2 linked regions of the Caenorhabditis elegans genome follow. The protein of the gene in region 1 purifies or fractionates together with the protein of each later gene. This does not show direct contact. Each region holds a gene or a part of one and is shown in the gene's direction. Other genes may lie near its edges.

Region 1 (5,720 bases):
CCCCATTCGGAAGAGGAAAATGCCGCTGAAAAGATAATTCTATCTCAGCTGGAAGCGGTTCTCTGTGCAGAAGGAGTTCGAAGTGCCGCCGGTGATTGTCAAAATCTTCCTCTCATTTATTCAATTTTATCGTTAACGGAGAGTACGCATTCACTAACTGCCCTCTTGGTTTCTGATCTTTTGTATGCCGAATTTGTAAATGAGAAACACGACGAAAGTAATCAGTTGAAACTCTTGAAACAAGTCTTCGAAAGCGTCAAAAAAATGCGTGAAACTTGGGCTGAAAAAATGGGGACTGAACATTTTCGTGGAAACATCCGCCGTTTTCTGGACGAAACCCTTCTCACGTTCATTCTGACATTTATTGATAAGGTTTCCGTTCATAACTTTTTATATTCATAATTATTTGTATTTTCAGTGTATGGGAGCCGTCGCAGTCCCAAGTGACACACGACTTTTCCATGAATGTTTCTTGCTCACTCAAGAATTTATCGATAATTGGCCATCTTCTCATACCTGCCGTGCAATGCTTAAGTCGATCAGGGATAAATTCAATTTATTAGTTTATTTTAAATTAGAAACACATCGATTCGGAAAACAGTGCGATCAGCTGATGTCTCCCGAAATGTTTGCCGAGCCAGAAACTTCTGAAAATCGAGAAAACACTCCTCAGCTGCACTGCGGAGTTTCAAGAGCAATTATAACAGCAATTGAGCATGTGTGGAGTGATGATGTGTATCTTCCTCCTATTGTTGATAAATTATGGGATTTCACATTGAAGCTTTTGCTAAAGCATTTCTCGTGGAGTCAAACTATGAAAAAGTTAGATTAAAAGTTCTTCTTCACGAAAAATATTTTGTTTTCTAGTTATTTCATGGAAGAAAAAAGAGATTGGACTTCAATGGTTACTCTCCGCTCGGATACTGGAAATCTTCATCAATTGGTTTTCGATTTCGCGTTGGAGTCAATTTGGGGAAAATTTCAGTTCGTTTATTTAAATACTTACTTACATTTAGATATCATTTTTTCAGTGATATCACAGTGGATACCGCTCCATTCGGTCAATGCCTAACAAAGCATGGTCGATCAATTGATAGTCTTTGTGTTCAAATTGATGATAGTATTATTGAAATGTTCTCCGAAGTTCTTCATCAAGAAATTGCTCAAGTTTCCGATGTTCCTAAACAATACAGATGGACGAAGAAATCACCACCGACAACGCATTCCAAATATGTTGTTACAGCTATTGAAATGGTTGAGAATTTGAAAGAAAAACTATGGTAGTTTATATTGCTTCCACAAAATTTTGTACGTATTTTTTTCAGCTGCGAAGAACATCCTCACACCGATGAAATTGTTCGAAAAGTTAATCTTTCAGCATTCAATTATTTCGTGGGGAAAGGGAACGAGGTAACGTTTATTTTGGACACATGAGATAATTTTTTTTCCCGCTAAGTTTATAAACCACTCCAATTGATGCAAATTGCAACAAAATATTTGTTTTCAGGTGCTGGATAGTGTCGAAGCTACAGGATCTTCTTTATCCCGATTCAAACGGAAAACCACAACTGATTCTGGCTCCACGGTTACTGATGACGATAAAATCAAACAACAAATCTATCATGATGCTAAATATTTCCTGAGCTATGCGGAAAATCTTGTATTCTCACAAGCTGATCTCACCGGATTACAAGAAGTCGTCAATCGATTTGACAAAGATGCACGTTCGGCGATTGTACAAGAGAAAAATCAGAACGAAGAAGCGGGGAATGCTTGAATTAATTTTATGTGATTATTTATTTACATGTACATTTTATTTTAACAAATGGGTTGAAGTCTTTAAAATCGTCTATTGCCTTAATATGGGTTCATGGTATTGGAATAAAAAGTGTATAGCATCGTATTTGTGTTCACTTTCTTAAAAGTTCGGTTAAAAATCCATCGATTCATTTCTTTTTCTTTCTTTTTCATTTGATATATTAAAGTGGTAAATATTTCAGATGACTTCCTGGGCAGATATTCAGAAACTTGCATCAGATTTGCAGAGAGTTCAACTGTCACAATCATCTAAAAAGTGAGAAATATCATTGATTCTTGGCCATTTTATATATTTGATACTAAATGATAGCACATACACCATTTGCCCTAAAAACAACAAAAAATTAATAAGGTTTTAGTATCAAAAATTTAATTATTTATCTCATCTGTATTAACAATTTTTCACTAAAATTCTCAATTGTAGAATAATTTTAAAAAATTATTCTTTAAGGCTCTCCGAGGTGAATTGCATTGAAGTCCTTCAAAAACTTATCGCTTCTCATCGAATTGACGTGGTCTATACTAGAGATGGGCATAGTTATGTAACTAAAAACCACTTGGAAACTGAGGTGAGAGGGCAGAAATTTTTTATTCAAAAAAAAAAAATGAAAATAAAAGTAAAATATTGGTAGATGAGACCAATATGTAGTCGTTTCTTAAATTTCAGAACCCTGAATTTTTTCGAAAAATCTCATTATGAAATGGTATATTAAATGGAAGCCACCATTCTTTTTTGCCACGTGGAACTTCTTGGGGTGATGGAGAAACTGGAGAATTTGATGGTGACTCGTGTTGGCTCTGAAATTTCCTTTTTTTTAAAAGAATACTAACATTCCAAACAGCTTAGGCTCACTTGATCAGGTTTCTTTAATATAGACTTTGGCATTAGAATTGCGGGAGATGGATTGGGCATTGTTGAGTGTTTGAGAAAATAAAAATGTCTATCTATTCTTTCTTTTTTTTCTCACAAACTCCGCCTTTTTGTTGACCGCAATGAACTTTTATGTTTACACAAATGCAGAAATGTGAGTACAGAATAAACTGGAAGCAGCAAAACATGTGATCATGTTTTCATTTTGACAGCAGCCTTGGTTTTCGATTTGTTATTGAGGATAAATTTACGGTTAGGAATAAATATGAAAGAAGAACAATTAATTTTTATTATAAAGTATCACAGAAAAAAGTAGTTAAATAAATATTTGTAAGCAAAAATGTGTCATTTACGTTTTGAAAATCTGGAAAATATTATCTACACACGAATAATTACAGTAATCTTTAAAGGCGCGTTGCTCTTTGTGTATAAGATAATAATGTCGCTTCGAGACCGGCTACCGTATTTTGGCAGAATAATTGGAAAATTACACAGGCTGAATATTTTCCAAAGTTTCAAGTTCATCAATCCATTTTTCAGATAAAAAACGAGTGCATAGCCGCTGGAGGACGTGCTTCTCTCACTGATATCGCAGTTGCTCTTAACATAGATTTCGATCATATCGAGAAGACTTCGCGCTTGATTGTTTCGACTGATGATGAATTTACAATTTCGAATGCAGAGATATTCGCGACGTAGGTCAAGTTTATTCACGTGATTTAGATAGGCCTAAAGTTCGGAAAAGAACAAAGAAGAACACATTGACTTCATTATTGTTACGTGTCGATTGCAAATTGCAAATCGACAAAATCATTTGTTCATTGAACACTCAAAAAATATAAATTTTCAGTGAATACGTACATCGTCTTCGTAACGAATTGCGTACACTTCTCGATGAGCAAGGAAATCAAACAACTGCAGCACTCTGCAAGCACTGGAATCTATCATCGGAACTTTTGCAATCCTTGCTAATCGAAAAATTGGGATCTTCTGATTTTCAAGGAGTGGTTGATGGGGATACGATCTATACTTCTTCATTTTTGAATGCCAGACAATTGGTTCTACGCGCTATTCTGATTGCATTAACTAAGTGAGAATCTGTTTTCCATTGCCGTTCAAATAATGTTTTTTCCAAACAGAATCACTCCTATTTCAACTATCCAAAAACGAGTTGGTCTCACACCGAAACGATTTTGGATTGCGTTCGAAAATCTTCAATCTCTCGGCGAAATTCCTGGTACTTTAATCGGTTCTCGTACATCACCTTCCTGCTCGTATCGTCCAATGATGTACGATCATCTTGTGAAGTCGTGCGTTTTGAATCAATATAGACAGAATGAATTTTTAGGTATGATCATCTATTTGTTTATCTTTTAATTTCTTTAAATTCCAGAAATTTCAACTCTAAAAACTCTAGGAGTAGATGCAAAACCAGCTCTCGAAGAAGTTCTTGGATCATCTGAATTCAAAAAACTTGTCAGTATGAGATCTATGTTTATGACAAAAGAACTCATGGATCAATGTATTAATGCTGTTCAAGGTTTTTTGTTTAATTGTTTTGAATTTTATTACTTAATTGAATTTTTAAATTTTCAGAAGACTTACAAAAAAGCGGAATATCCGACGTGCATTTGGCTCTTCAATCTCTAAATCTTCCTCTAGATACTGCTGATGAGGATGAAATCGGGTCAAAAGTTGCAAATGTGGAAAAAGATTCGCATTTTGCAGAGGGTTTTGTGTTCAAGGGAGCAGTTTTGACTGAAGCTCTGCGTTCAATTGACAAATTGTTGGACGTCAGAGCACATGAGGAAGTTGATCGATTAGAAGCGGAGAAAAAGAAACAAGGCGGAGCCAAGGCAGCAGTGAAAGTTCAAGAAGAGGTATACAAATTGAATTGAAAAAAAACTATTTAATTTTTCAGACGGATGACTGGGGAGATGGAAAGAAAGGTGGAAAAGGAGGAAAGAAAAACGCAAAAAGTGTGAAAGGTGGTTCGAAATCGTCTGCTCCTTCAACTTCATCCAATTTGTCGGCGAATATTTCCATAAATAGTGAGGAACTGGAAATATGGCTTCGTGAAAGTCAATCAGTACCCGAAGAAATTCTTTCAGTAATTGTGGAAAAGTTGAATCAAGAGGTCCATCTCATGGATTCTTCAGAAATAAATAATTTTTATGTTTCAGACAACAACGCTACTTCGCAAAAAAGTTCAAGACATTCAAGCACATCAATTGGTTGCCAGCGTCGCTAATTCCAAAAAGTCATTGTCTGCAATCGGCGATAAGTGTAGACAACTTTACGATTCATTTAACACATTTGAGACGGCTACTTCCACTTTTGCTGGTAGAAAAAACTTTAAAACTGAATAGAAAAATAATTTATTTTGAATTTCAGATCCCCTTGGCTCAGATCTTCGGCAATATCTTCTGAAAACAGTTGGAAATGAAATTGCATTGGCGTTGCTTTCATATGTTATGGGAGTAGATAATGCACACCAATTGAAGGAAAAACAGCGAGAAGAAACAATTGAAAACCTTCCTGAAATGCTCAGAGATCCGATTCGATCAGTGTTTGCGTCGCTGAAATCTACAGATGATGATGCTTTGGATAAATTTCATGATGCTGTTTATAATTGTTCGGCTCCAAGTGCAACTTCGTTGGCACTGAAAAAAGTCGACAAGAAAGGAAGGTAAAATTATTTTCATAATTCTTTCCAAAAAATATCTAAAAATTATTTATAGTGAGTTAAAATTTTGGAAAAAAATAAGCTAAAATTTTAAATTTCAAAATTTGTCGCAGCTGCTGGAAACAGGGCTGAATTCGAATTTTTTGAAAAAAAAAGCGAAATACGAATAATTTTGCAATTTTTAAATATTATTGATCGAAATTGAAATTGTTTCACAATTTCAAGTATATTTTTTTTAGAAAAAAAGTGACATTTAAAATTTAAAAAAAAACAAATTTTTTCAGAGCCGAAGTTGGAGCTAAAATTACAGCGGAACTTCATGAGCAACTTTGTTCTCAAACGGAG
Region 2 (13,246 bases), on another chromosome or scaffold:
CATAACATAAACTTTGGCATCAAAACATGGCTTAAGATATCAGAAAGAGATTGGGTAAAAAGGATAAAGGTAAGAAGTAGGTGGGATCTTGCAAAAGGTTGTAAAGTGGAACAACAGAAGGAAGGAAACAGAAGTAAGGAAAAGAGAAGAAGCAAAAGAAAAAAAGGAGGTGACGAATGAGTTATCTGGCAACGGGTTATCCGGAAGACGAGGGACACCCCACCACTCAAACATCATTTATCAATTGGTATTTCCATTTAAGAAACATTAAAAAGGGCATCGACCTTCAAGTTTTCTTTTTGAAAAAAAAAGTTATTAAAATTGAGAATTTGTTTGGTTTTTGAAGTTGGAGAATCATAAATTGAATCTGTTTTTATGAATCCCAATTGTATAAGCTATATTTGATTAGAGGTTCAAATATTTCCTCCATCTTGGAATACCCTCCAGCAATTATTATTGAAGATTCATTTGACATTGGTTATAGAACCCTAGCTTGGAAAAAAGTCTAACAGAAGATTGTAATAGTCTTGCAGGTACTCAGCACTTTTATTTTTTAGGTTCAGTCAATTTTGCAAAATTGAAAAGTTCAGAACTTTAACCGGAAGTTGAAATAGATGAGAGGCGAAAGGTGTGAAGAACTTTGTGAAGATATTGAAGAACCAGCAAGTGTGTGTGCTCAGGCTCCGTCTCTATCTGTTCTTGTCACATTTATCTTTCAAAAAGTACCTCTTTCCGTGTGTTTTTTTCGATCATAATCGATTTATCAAAGCAGAAGATCAAGGATTTCTCTATGGATTGATAGACAAACTTATAATTCACTGAGTTATTCCCTGATAAACCTAGGTGAAAAAAATTTTCAGGATTGTTATGCAAATAAAGTCAAATACCCAATAGCTTTAAATTATTAAAATTTTTTGAATGGTAAGTACAAACAAAATTATAATTGTTGAACATGAAACAGAGGAATAGCGAAAAAAAAAATTCAAAACCCGAAGTCGTTCATCAGAATACGAGATCTTTCTGCGCCTTTGCACAAGGAGTCCATTTTAGGTTTTTTTGGTGAGGGAGTTCGTTTTTTTAATTCTGTGACGTAGGGGGGTTAGTGAGATATTTTCAAAAAGCACAATATATTGTCTAGGGACCTTGTTTCGAATATCAAGAAATATTGGAAAAAAGTGTAAATTGAGTGGCACTACACGGCAGAAGTTACAACCAGTGAAGACATCCAGAATTGAGCACAAATTTATTATCTGCTTATGGAAAAACTTCTGAAAAAAATTATCTATATACATATTACGTGAACAAAACTCAATGATAAAACTGACTTGGAGCTCAATGGCGATTTTTTCTTGTGTGAGTTTCGAATTAAAAAGCTGCCAATAAAACTTAACGAAGATTTGGAACTTAACTTCTGTATTTTAATTTCTTTTCACATATTGAATTTTTTACTAGTTTTCAGCCAGTTTTCATTTCTCGTTTTCCAATACAAGCCAGTTTGAAATGAGTCATCACATTCGGAATGTTCAATATCACCTGCTCTCTGGTTAAACTTGACAACAAGAGTATTTCTAAATTCAGTAAGTCAACAACATTCTGTTAACTCGATGAACAATATAAAGGAGGGCTAATTTCATTTTTATTGCCACACAAAGGATGACCTCGAAAAACTTTCCGCAAATCTTGCAGAAAGTCATTTGAATGACCATTAATTTTGAAAATTGCGTTCTTTGTTTTCTTGGTTTCCCGAAACAGTTATTATAACGGTTTGAATGTCTTATTTATCTGTAGTCTAACTTCAGAGCAAGTAACTGGTCCTGTTGGCGTACTTACCGGCCGAAACCTGCCTTGAAAGCTGGCTTGTTTTGCAATAAAGAAGGCTTTCCGGGTCAAGTCGCTTTCTTATCAATGATTAGACAATTTCGGTTTTTCAGTTTTCAGAACAGGCGGAATTGTTTCTCTGATTAATCTTTATGTTTTTTTTAAGTCGGTTTATTCAAATTCTCAACTTCAAGTTTACATCTATTTCTGTCTTTTGTGCTTTATCCCACTTCACACAAATTATCAAGACGAGCCTGTTAGACTAGACTAATTGTCCGGGAAAAATAAACGGAAAGAAACAAAGTCTCATGTGTGTATTTGTGTTCAGCAGGAGGGAATAGATTCGTAGTGAAAGGAGAGTGCAGGCAAAGACAGTATTTGCTCCTTTCCGCCACAACACCCGACAGTCCTTTGCTTCCCGAAGAGAATCGATCGGAGAATTACTAGAGTCTCATGTTTTTCGTTTAAATTGTGTTTTATAAACGCAAAATTTTGATTTTTTGTAAATTTCCAAAGTAAGGAATTTTCCCTGTTGATGTGATCGTTGTTTCGCTTATATTTAGCGAAAAAAAATACTGTGGAATAATATGGCAGATTCTCCATGCATCACTTGTTTTTGAAATGCATAGAATTAACCTAAAACTCTGAATTTTCCAACTTATCTCAAAATTGATAGAAATAGTCAGGAATTTTGGTTGTATAGTTGTTTTTTGGTAGTAAATTTCCTTTCCGTATTGTTATCTTTCAAAATTACAGAAAATTAAATTATCAAAAATCAAACAGCTTAATTTTAAAGAAGATCAGTCCAAATGCTGATCATTAAATAAAATGTAAAATTGTTACTTCCAAGACAATTTGGAGCAGTTTATGATAATTTTGAAGAAAATGTAGATGTTGAAATTATAATATAGTGAAATATAAAACATCTGATATCCTCGTGTTTTCAATGTCCCATCTTAATTATCAATTTTGATTTAAAAAATTATTGGCTTAAATTTCAGAAACAAAGTGACAAATTTCCAAAAAAAAGGTTTCGAAACATGTTCATAACTTATTCTCCGTCTCTTCCAGGCATACTTTCCTCTCTTATCGTTACTATAATATTATTCTTTCTCTCCCCCTCATTCTCTCTCGAAACATTTCTCTTTGGTAGGTGGAGACCGCCCGTTCTCAAATGGCTTCTTTTTGTCTATGTCTCTCTTTATCCTGTAATATTCAAATTTTGGTTGTCAAGGATTCTCCATTTTGAAGAATAAGCCGATTTTCTATTCGGATTTCAAAAAAAAGTTTGGTTTTCTTTTTTCTTTTTTCTTTTTTCTTTTTTGTTTTTCGTGAAACGGGGCCGAGCAAAGGCTAACTATGCATTTTAAGAAGACATTTCAACGAATAAAATTTATTTGAAAATTTAAATGGGATTATTCTCTCGAATGAAATCCAAGGAAAATGATGGTAAATTGCTTTCCATTTTTATTTTGATAATTGTACTATGTCCTTCATCATCAGTTTTTCGTCGTACAAGTTATCAATTATATGGAAAACTGTACGATGCCAACTAAAAACAAATGGTGGCATTTTTTTGATAAATGTTTTTCTTCAAATGCTTAGTATAAGTTTACCGTTGACTTTGTAACACTTTTTAAAAAGTTAATAATTAAAAAAAGATCAATGCAGAAGGACTCCAGCTAAACTACAACATTTTAGATTTTCATAAACCCGTTTTGGCAAACTGCCAAAATTTTGAACAATTTTGACTTGTTGAGAAATTAAGAGATTAAGCATTGTTGCAAGTTCAAAAATTAATACATAATTTTAGTAAAAAAAAAGTGCACATGTGCAAAAATTAATTTAAAAATGCGAGCTCAACTTATATATATATATATACAAAATTCTAGTTTCAAAATTTTGAGATTTGAAATGTACCTTTGATTCTCAAAAATAAAATTGGAATTTTAGTTTCAAATTAATGAAGATGAAGTCTTTCAAAATAGTGCATAGTTTATCTGCAGAGAATGAAAACATTATACTTTTAGTAGTTTTTTCACTGAAACATCTTATCACCAAATGAATTGTGTGCTCATTTAGTACACACAACGATTTTTTCGTGAAACTGTGCATTATGCTCTGTGTCAATTGATTCTTCTTAAAATGAAATCAAACGGCTAAAAATGTAGTCATGTGTTATTCGATATTTGTATCCTCTTTGATTTTCGATAAAGTTCGGTTCGCCCCGGGCGCCGTGATAAAATTTGTCATTTTACATATTCTCATTGATAACAATTATATATTTCTAACTTTTTATTATTCTCTCACACCAGCTTCTAGCAAAAAAAATGAAATTGACCAAAAAACGATTGTCAGGTGAAAGGATGTCTACAAGTACTGGAGAAATTACTGAAAGTGATCGTAAGCTTCTCGATGAACTCAGAAAAAGGATTCATAAAGAATTAGAATTAGTGAAAGAATATGATGATGATTTTTCACTTATGAGATGGTTAATCGGATGGGATCGAAAAATTGGTAAGACTTTTTGGAATATTGTTTAAACTGTAAATGTTTTTTTTATGAATTTTATGATGGTTTTGAAATATTTCGAAAAAATTGTAAAATGAAATAGATATATTTTCAGATGTTGTGGTTCCAAAAATCAAGTTCTCACTTCGTGCCATTCATGCACTTGGACTTGACCAAGAAGATCTCTCAACACTGGAAAAAGTGGCACAAAAATGTGATGATTGTAGTGTTCCACTTCGATACCTTCCTGGATCTTTAATCGGATTGGATCATGAGAATAATGTGGTCTCTCTTCAAATGATTGGACATCTTGACGCAGCCGGTCTCATGCCAGCCACAAGAAATTCGGATTTATACAGAATGAGAATTGCTGAAAGTGAAGGAGTCATGCAAATTATCAGGTATGCGTAGTTCAAGATAACGTCACTCTAGTCTGTGTGGCAAAAGTGATTGGAATACTGTTTACTCTGTGACTTATATGATAGCGGAAGAGAAAAATTGAAAAATAGAACACTGATATCGAATACCCGAAAATTATATTTTGTCCAGAGATTAAGAAACATTAGTTGCGAAATAAGATGTAGACTACTGTAATAATAATGAAAAATTAGAACTTATACTTTCAGAAAAATGGAAAAAGAGCAAGGAAAACCATTGGGAACATCTGTCATTTTCGATCTTGACGGACTTTCAATGGTTCAAATTGATTTGGCTGCTTTGAAGGTTGTGACTACCATGCTCTCGCAGCTTCAGGTACATTTTCCAGATTAGTCGTATTAAAAATTGAATTGTTTAATTTCAGGAGATGTTTCCTGATGTAATTCGTAAGATATTTATTGTTAATACACCAACATTTATTCAAGTACTCTGGAGTATGATCTCGCCATGTCTTGCCAAGCAAACTCAACAGAAAGTCAAGATTTTGGGAAACGATTGGAAACAACATTTGAAGGAGAATATTGGAGAAGAAGTGCTATTTGAAAGATGGGGTGGAACTAGAAAGGCTGAAACTGAATATGGAAATGTTCGAATGGGTGGCAAGATTCCTGCTGAATTGAAGTAATTTTGCAGAGGAAAATTTATTTGAAAAATAATCCTGTTTTTTAGGTATGACCCGGCCAACGATCTTCCAGCTGAGAAGCTTACCAAACTCAACGTTTCTGCTCGTTCGACAACATTTGTTCCCATTACTCTCGAAGGAAATGTACCAGGAAGAAAACTTTATTGGTGGTGGAGGCTGGAGAATAACGATATCAATTTCTCGATTCTTCGAGCAGCAGAAGGTGAAGAGAAAGTTGCAGAGCATGACGATGACTACATGGTGCATCCAAAATTCAAACTTCAAACAGACTTCGTTCCGGAAGATGGAGAAGTGTGTGCTGCGGAGCCTGGAGTATATAAATTCGTATTTGATAATACTCATAGCAAATTAAGATCTAAAACTGTCAAATATTTTATTGAGGTGCGGAATCCTTGAGGAACCGGTACACACTAGAAAATCGTATTTATTGTAATGTATACTTTCATAACCTATTAAAACGTTTATTTTATCCATCAGCTTATTTGTTGTATTTGCTTTTTAATTTCTGATTTTTCAAAATCATTCGAACGACGTCATAAAGTGCTAGTGATAGCTAATTATACGTTTGAAAGTTTTTCTGTGCATATAAATATGTGGGGTACAGTAATATTGTCCAAGTGTTGTTCGCGACCGAATTTTCCTAGTTATTGTCAATAGAGCGTATCTGCATACCATAAAGAAAAAGCTCGGCCGCATCACAATTTGAATTTTATTTCCACGATTTTTATTTATTTTATGTCATTATTCACTTCAATGTCTTTTTTTCTTGAATTAACCTTCAAAATGTATTATATGAATAGATATTTATTTTTTTTACAATATTTGTTCTCTCAGAGAATGTCACTGAAGTGTGAAACTGAACGAAGCAAAACGTGGAACAATTTCGGGAATGGTATTCCGTGCGTTTTGGGCATTGATGAAGCTGGAAGAGGTTTGTGGAAAATAATAGTCAATAATTGATAATTCAGTAATCTAATATATCCAAATTTTAGGTCCAGTGCTCGGTCCTATGGTCTACGCAGCAGCGATTTCCCCACTTGATCAAAATGTAGAGTTGAAAAATCTTGGTGTCGACGATTCAAAAGCGTTGAACGAGGCGAAACGTGAAGAAATCTTCAACAAGATGAATGAAGACGAAGACATCCAACAGATCATAGCATATGCTCTCAGATGTCTTTCCCCTGAATTGATCAGTTGCTCAATGCTCAAAAGACAAAAGTATTCGTTGAATGAAGTATCCCATGAAGCTGCGATCACTTTGATTCGAGATGCGCTAGCTTGCAATGTGAATGTAGTGGAGGTTTCCTGAAAATATATACAAGCTAAATATAAGGTATACTATTTTTCAGATCAAAGTGGACACAGTTGGCCCGAAAGCAACTTATCAAGCCAAACTCGAGAAATTATTTCCCGGAATTTCAATTTGCGTGACTGAAAAAGCTGATTCACTTTTTCCTATCGTCAGTGCAGCTTCCATTGCCGCCAAAGTCACGAGAGACTCGCGTTTGAGAAATTGGCAATTTAGAGAGAAAAATATTAAAGTTCCAGATGCTGGATATGGAAGTGGATATCCTGGAGGTCTTTTTATTTTATGAATAGTATATTTTATTATTTTTCTTTCAGATCCAAACACAAAGAAGTTCCTTCAATTAAGTGTGGAACCAGTTTTCGGCTTCTGCTCACTCGTTCGATCATCCTGGAAAACAGCCAGTACTATCGTTGAGAAGAGATGTGTTCCAGGCAGTTGGGAAGATGACGAGGAAGAAGGGAAATCACAAAGCAAAAGAATGACTTCATGGATGGTTCCGAAAAATGAAACAGAAGTTGTACCAAAAAGAAATGTGTACTTCAAGGAAAGACATATGAGCAATATTCTAACTTTTTGAATTATAACGAAATACTTACATTTTTCAATATCACCATTCATTTTTATTTTACCATTTTCTTTAACGCGTTTCTGATCTCCTCATATCTCCCTCTAAATATTTCATCACTTTGGTTGTATACCTCAATTTACTTGTAGTATATTCATTTTCTCTTACTTTTTCTGGTGAACTTTTCTTAGATACTCATTGAATAAATTTTGAAATTCTCCGATTTGTATTTAATGAAAGTATCATGAAATTCCGTTTTCACCGGATATTAATATTTGGATGAATCTCTCAAAAATTCTTTCAAAAAGTGATTTTTCCAGATGGAGATAAACCTGACAAAAATTGTGAGCACACTGTTCCTCAGTTTCATGTTCTACAACTTTTTTCAACTTTATAAGCTTTTCACTCCGGAGTTATGTACAGATCAGGATTCTGACGAATTGTGCTATTCGGTAAATTTTTCGATTGAGGCAAAACTATAATAACATTTTATAGCCAATTGTTCAACCCAACCACGAAGGATTGTACGATTTACTACAGCTTCGAGTCTATTTTTCAACGAAAAGAGATGCATTGGAGACACTTATCACGACTGTTGAAAACTTGCAAGTTGCCGATGCCTTCCAGAAAGATGTAATTTTCTAAAATATAGAATAACCTCATTTTATATTTTATTTTCAGCTTCAAGTGAAGATTCCGTCTTCGGTTGCTAAAGATGGCTACCTATATGCACATACAATTTTACTTCCACATAAATTTGATGGTCGTAATCCGATGCAAGCTTCATGGAAAGTGCACGTAGCGGCTCCTATGGTAGTTTTTCAAGAGCCAGTGGCCAAGACTTTCCAACTCTTAGGAGATGAAGAAGTCAAAGAAAAAGTCGATGAAAAACCGAAAAAGTCCAAGTCAAAAGTTGTTGAACTGGCCGCACATTTCCGAACAATTCTGCCGGTACGAATTGTATCTGAACCGAACCGATACGTAAAGACCAAAGTCAGTGGAGAATTGGCGTAAGTTCAATAAATATTTTATGAAAATATATGTTCGTTTTCAGTGACTTTCTGACGATTCAACGGCAGGATAAAAAAGAAGGATACCTTCCAATCATGTTTGTGGATGAAATGAGTATGAGAAGCAAGCATCTCTATGAACTCGCCGACTTCCAAAAGTCTGTAAACTTGACCATTAACTACGAACCAACAAGCGTTGCCAAGCTGCTTCTGCTCACCTCAACAGCTCGTTCGACCCACCAGCTCATGAAACATGGATTTAAAGATAAGGATGTTGATGAGCTTCGTGGACTTTTCACTGAAACCTCAATTGTTCTTTTGATGGTTACTTTCTTCGTATCTACATTACATTTGCTATTTGATGCATTAGCTTTCAAAAATGATATTTCATTTTGGAAGGGAAGAAAATCAATGGTCGGACTATCTACAAAGTATGAATAGCACATGTTTCCATTTTATGATTATTTTTCAGAACTCTCCTATGGCGATGCTTCTCTCAAACAATAATTTTCTTCTATCTTTTCGATCAACAAACATCATTACTTGTTCTGATTCCTGCTGGAATTGCTACAGTAATCGAATACTGGAAAGTCACCATAGCCTACAAAGTTACAATAACTTGGAAAGGAATCAAATTCGGAAAACACTCAACAGAAGAAGACGAAACTGATTCCATCGACTCGCAAGCCATGAAGTACCTGTCGATTCTTTTAGTTCCACTTGTTATTGGTGGAGCTATCTATAGCTTACTTTACGTTCCTCATAAATCATGGCGATCATGGATTCTGGAAACATCTGCTAATGGAGTTTATGCTTTTGGCTTCTTGTTTATGTTACCACAATTGTTTGTCAATTACAAGTTAAAGAGTGTGGCACATCTTCCATGGAGAGCTTTCATGTACAAGGTAACTTAAAATTACAAAATATTCATATCGAGATCTATCTAATTTACAGGCATTCAATACGTTTATTGATGACTTGTTTGCATTTGTCATAACCATGCCAACTGCTCATCGTATGGCCTGCTTCAGGTAAGAAACTTTCAGAGAGGAAGATATTATAATAATTTTGTATCAGAGACGATATTGTGTTCCTTGTATATCTCTACCAAAGATGGCTGTATCCAGTTGATTACACCAGAATCAACGAATTCGGAGAAGGTGGTGATGAGAAAGAAAAGAAAAACAAAGAGAAGCTGGAGCCTGAAGTTGAAGAGAAGAGCAATACCACAGAACAAGATGAATCGGGAACCATCAAGCGGAGAACTGCTAGAAAAACCTAAAATAGTCTCAGATTTTAAAGTATTAAAACCATCTAGACTTTAACTGTAACCGTAACTTATACAGTCTTTTTAAAACCAAAATTTCTACAAACTTGTTTTTATTTTAATAATTATAATGTGTTTATTTATTTGTTTGCCATTACTGGTTCAATTTGTTGTTCGTGTGATTTCTGCTGAATTGGAAGCCTCGCTTCCCTCAATAAACGAAGTAGATCATGATTCTCGCGGGACAACCAATAAGAAAGAGCCGTCCTTTTTCGTAAATGGACACGAAACGGACTTGTTTGAAGGCGCATTGCTTTTTGCTTTTCACACCTTATTTGAGCGCGTGTAAATACAAGAAATGTGAGAAATAGTGTGAGAACTTGTATAAACGCAGGAATACAGTGTAGAGATTGAAAAGCTCCTTGAGAAATGGAACTTGACTTCATTTTTGTCCGCGTAGCCAATGAGATTCGTGATGTGGATGTGGCTGTTCGTTGTGTGGATTACTGTACTTTTTGGAGGTATGCAAATTTATCGAACTTCCAGATATTTGCAGATTTATTATAAACTTCATTTCGAAGTTTAGATAAAAATTGGTAACAAATTAAAACAGTTATGTATATTTCATACTTATTTTGGTATTAACGGGTTGTCGGAGTCTTCATCGTAGCCAATAATGTAATAGCAAATGGTAGAAATGTGACGTCACAGGCGTACTTATATTTTAATTAGGTACACAACTCTGAAACATAAAACAGTATCTAAAAATTAGTTTTAATCGCTAAGGTCACAAAGAAATTTGATATTTAAAAAATTTCAGTGTCCAATGGTGGAATCCTAGACCGATCTTGTGGAAGACGAAGAGTTGGTTATATTACATCGTGGGGCAAACATCCATTTAGAGATGATCAGGTATTTTTATAAACTTTTCAGTTAACACTTTCAAATTAAGGCTGAAAAGCTGACACACTTAGTTTTCGCCTTCTTCGTCGTCGATTCAGATGGAAGTGTCAAGTTGGAAGGAGATGCTGCAAAAGCAAGATTGGAACATGTTAAAGAGGTATTGTCAAAAACTATTTAAAAGTTATAGGTTTTTAAAATGATATTTGATATCTTAGGTTGCATCTCGTCATCCAGATCTCAAGCTTTTGTACGCTGTTGGAGGCTGGGAAAACTCTCAATATTTTTCCGTTTTAACTGCAGATCACTCTAGAAGGTGTGTCAAAGGCGTGATCTAGAAAACACATAAAATTTCAGATCAATTTTAATCTCGAACTTTGTCAAAGTTATTAAAGAGTACGGTTTTGACGGTGTTGATATTGACTGGGAATATCCCGTAACAGGCGGTGCTGTTGAGGGTACTCCAGCTGATCGAAGGAATTATGTAAACTTGATGAGAGAACTTCGAAATGAGTTGAGAGATTTGGAATCCGAAACAGGAAAGTCGTATCTCATATCGTTCGCTGGAGCAGCAGGACATTGGGTCTTGAAACCAGGATACGATCTACAACAATTGATGAAATATTGTGATTTTGTGAATGTTATGAGTTATGATTATTTTGGAGCATGGGCTTCGAAATGGGGTGCATACACTGGACCCCCAGCACCATTACAGTTTGCTATGCCGAAAAAGTGAGCTAAAATTAGTAAGGGGAAGCGAAGAGCAACGAAATAATTTTTTAGATTCTCTGGAAGAATGAACGTACATGCCACGATGAAAGACTACAGTTGCCAAATAAAAGCAACTGATAAGGTAAGAAACATTTTGGTATTTGAGTTACCGTAACCGTTAATCAACTTCCAGATAAATATGGGTGTCCCATTCTATGGTCGTTTCTGGAAGAATGTGGGTGATGCTGTTGACTCAACAGATGATATGTGGAGAACTGCTACGGCAACTAATTCAGAAGGCACAAAATTTGAAGGTGGAGATGTTCAATGGAGAGATCTGCACGAGAAATTTGATACTACAAAAACCAAGTTTCATTCTGGATCCAAAACCCCATTCATTTGGCTTTCTGAACAAAAAACCTTTGTTGGATATGAAAATGCTGAAAGTCTCAAACATAAAGTTGATTATATAGTTGAAAATAATATTGGAGGAGTTATGATATGGGCAATTGACTTTGATGATGATCAAGGTACCCTTCTGAACTCTGCTGCAGCTGAATCTATTTGTACCACATCAACAAAGTCATTCAACTACAAGTGTTCTCCAGTAGACGACAAAAGATGGTGGACATATGATGATAATGAGGAATTGGCTGGAATGTGTGGAAAATCGTCTCCATTGATTGATGGATATTATCCCGTTTGTGATCCAGATGATCCAGGTCATGCTTGTTGTGGAAAGGTTAGTACCACCGTGAAAGGCTTCATAATACCGTTTTGCAGTATGGCTATTGCGGTTCCGGTGCAGAATTCTGTTCTTGTCCTGAATGTATTGACTATGGTGCAGATCCAAATTTAATTTTGAAAGAACCAGTGAAACCAAGCCAAAAGATCACATGGTACACATCGGATGCTGGAGAAGGGAAACGTGGACGATGTGGTCGAGATGTTCCACCTTTAGAAGGAGAAGCGCCAACTTGTAATCCAGATGATGCTAATGCTCATTGTTGTAGTAATGGAGGTTACTGTGGAAATTCAAAGGAACATTGTGAATGTAATGGATGTATTGATTTTGCAAAACAGAGAGATTTCAAATATAAACCATTAGAATGGTGGACATTTTCTGAGAATCCAGCCAACGTTGGTGAGGGAACAGGCCCTCAATTCAACTTATAAGAATATATCTTCAGGTCGTTGTGGTTACAATGCTCCACGACTTTCTACTGGAAAAATTCCAAAATGTGATCCGGATTCTGAATCCTACTGTTGCAGTAATAGTGGCTATTGCGGAAAAGGAGAACAATATTGTAGCTGTTTAGGATGTGCTGATTTCAAGGCAAATCCTGCATTTGAGTATTAAACTTTCTCACTACTTATCTGAAACTGTATATACCGATAAATTATTTCAATTGTACTAAAATTACAAAAAAGTTTATCCATTAAATTTGAAAAATGAGACCAATTGGTTAAAAACTTACAGAAATGTAAGATTAAAAAGGAAAAAAAATAACTTAGAAGAACAATGGAATACATAAAATAGCGTCTACAGAAGTCCTTGTCTTTTCAAATCCTCATACATCTTCCTGGTGACCACATTTCCGCTGGAGTCCTCGTACTCCTCATCGATGTCCGGATTCCATTTAGCCATCTCCTTTTCGGTTTTCAATTTATTCCATAAATCCAGTGCATCTTTGATCTTCGTAATGTTGGCGAAATGAGAGGTATTCGGAATTCCAAGACATCTCATTCCATGAGAATGTCGCCACTCCTGCAAATATCAAGTTTTTGAACGAGACCAATATAATGAACTTACGTTGAAATGCTTTTGGAACGCCTTTGGACCTTTGTAAGTTTGATTTCCACAGATTTCACATGAATATGATAGATTGAGGCCGTGAAGTTTGTACAACCAATACGGAATTGGCTTTCCATCCCAACCAAGCGGTAGATTTTTTGGATTATATGGTGCACTCTCATCAATTTCTTCCTCTTCCTCGATCTAAAAAATGAATTTTTAAATGTTTCTAAAAATAACTAGAGAAAATAATTCAAACCTACCACAATTTCCTCCTCC

The links.
Region 2: the proteins of ufl-1 (region 1) and T13H5.8 fractionate together in Caenorhabditis elegans (co-fractionation; one large-scale study listed by BioGRID). This does not show direct contact.

The regions. Positions count from the first base shown.
Region 1 is NC_003282.8:7,033,140-7,038,859, reverse strand, and holds the start of ufl-1 (E3 UFM1-protein ligase 1 homolog), read left to right. Parts: upstream 1-2,000; coding exon 2,001-2,074; intron 2,075-2,269; coding exon 2,270-2,387; intron 2,388-2,388; exon of another isoform or gene 2,389-2,481; coding exon of another isoform or gene 2,482-2,616; intron 2,617-2,671; coding exon of another isoform or gene 2,672-2,731; exon of another isoform or gene 2,732-2,737; intron 2,738-3,229; coding exon 3,230-3,384; intron 3,385-3,539; coding exon 3,540-3,779; intron 3,780-3,828; coding exon 3,829-4,037; intron 4,038-4,082; coding exon 4,083-4,229; intron 4,230-4,285; coding exon 4,286-4,569; intron 4,570-4,610; coding exon 4,611-4,826; intron 4,827-4,872; coding exon 4,873-5,032; intron 5,033-5,083; coding exon 5,084-5,378; intron 5,379-5,659; coding exon 5,660-5,720. Other genes in the region: cogc-2 (Conserved oligomeric Golgi complex subunit 2), read left to right, coding at 1-372, 419-822, 868-984, 1,032-1,280, 1,326-1,410, 1,508-1,777; C06G3.3 (uncharacterized protein), read right to left, coding at 2,482-2,616, 2,672-2,731. UniProt on the Caenorhabditis elegans protein: E3 UFM1-protein ligase that mediates ufmylation of target proteins.
Region 2 is NC_003280.10:8,510,906-8,524,151, forward strand, and holds T13H5.8 (Lipid scramblase CLPTM1L), read left to right. Parts: upstream 1-7,604; coding exon 7,605-7,736; intron 7,737-7,779; coding exon 7,780-7,917; intron 7,918-7,965; coding exon 7,966-8,294; intron 8,295-8,338; coding exon 8,339-8,725; intron 8,726-8,766; coding exon 8,767-9,199; intron 9,200-9,248; coding exon 9,249-9,325; intron 9,326-9,371; coding exon 9,372-9,576; 3' UTR 9,577-9,791; downstream 9,792-13,246. Other genes in the region: ctg-2 (CRAL-TRIO domain-containing protein), read left to right, coding at 4,149-4,335, 4,445-4,730, 4,956-5,082, 5,132-5,388, 5,437-5,806; rnh-2 (Ribonuclease H2 subunit A), read left to right, coding at 6,248-6,341, 6,403-6,710, 6,760-6,988, 7,034-7,296; cht-2 (GH18 domain-containing protein), read left to right, coding at 10,025-10,082, 10,382-10,473, 10,514-10,621, 10,680-10,777, 10,819-11,193, 11,245-11,314, 11,366-11,914, 11,956-12,316 and 1 more; prp-9 (Matrin-type domain-containing protein), read right to left, coding at 12,716-12,940, 12,986-13,171, 13,231-13,246.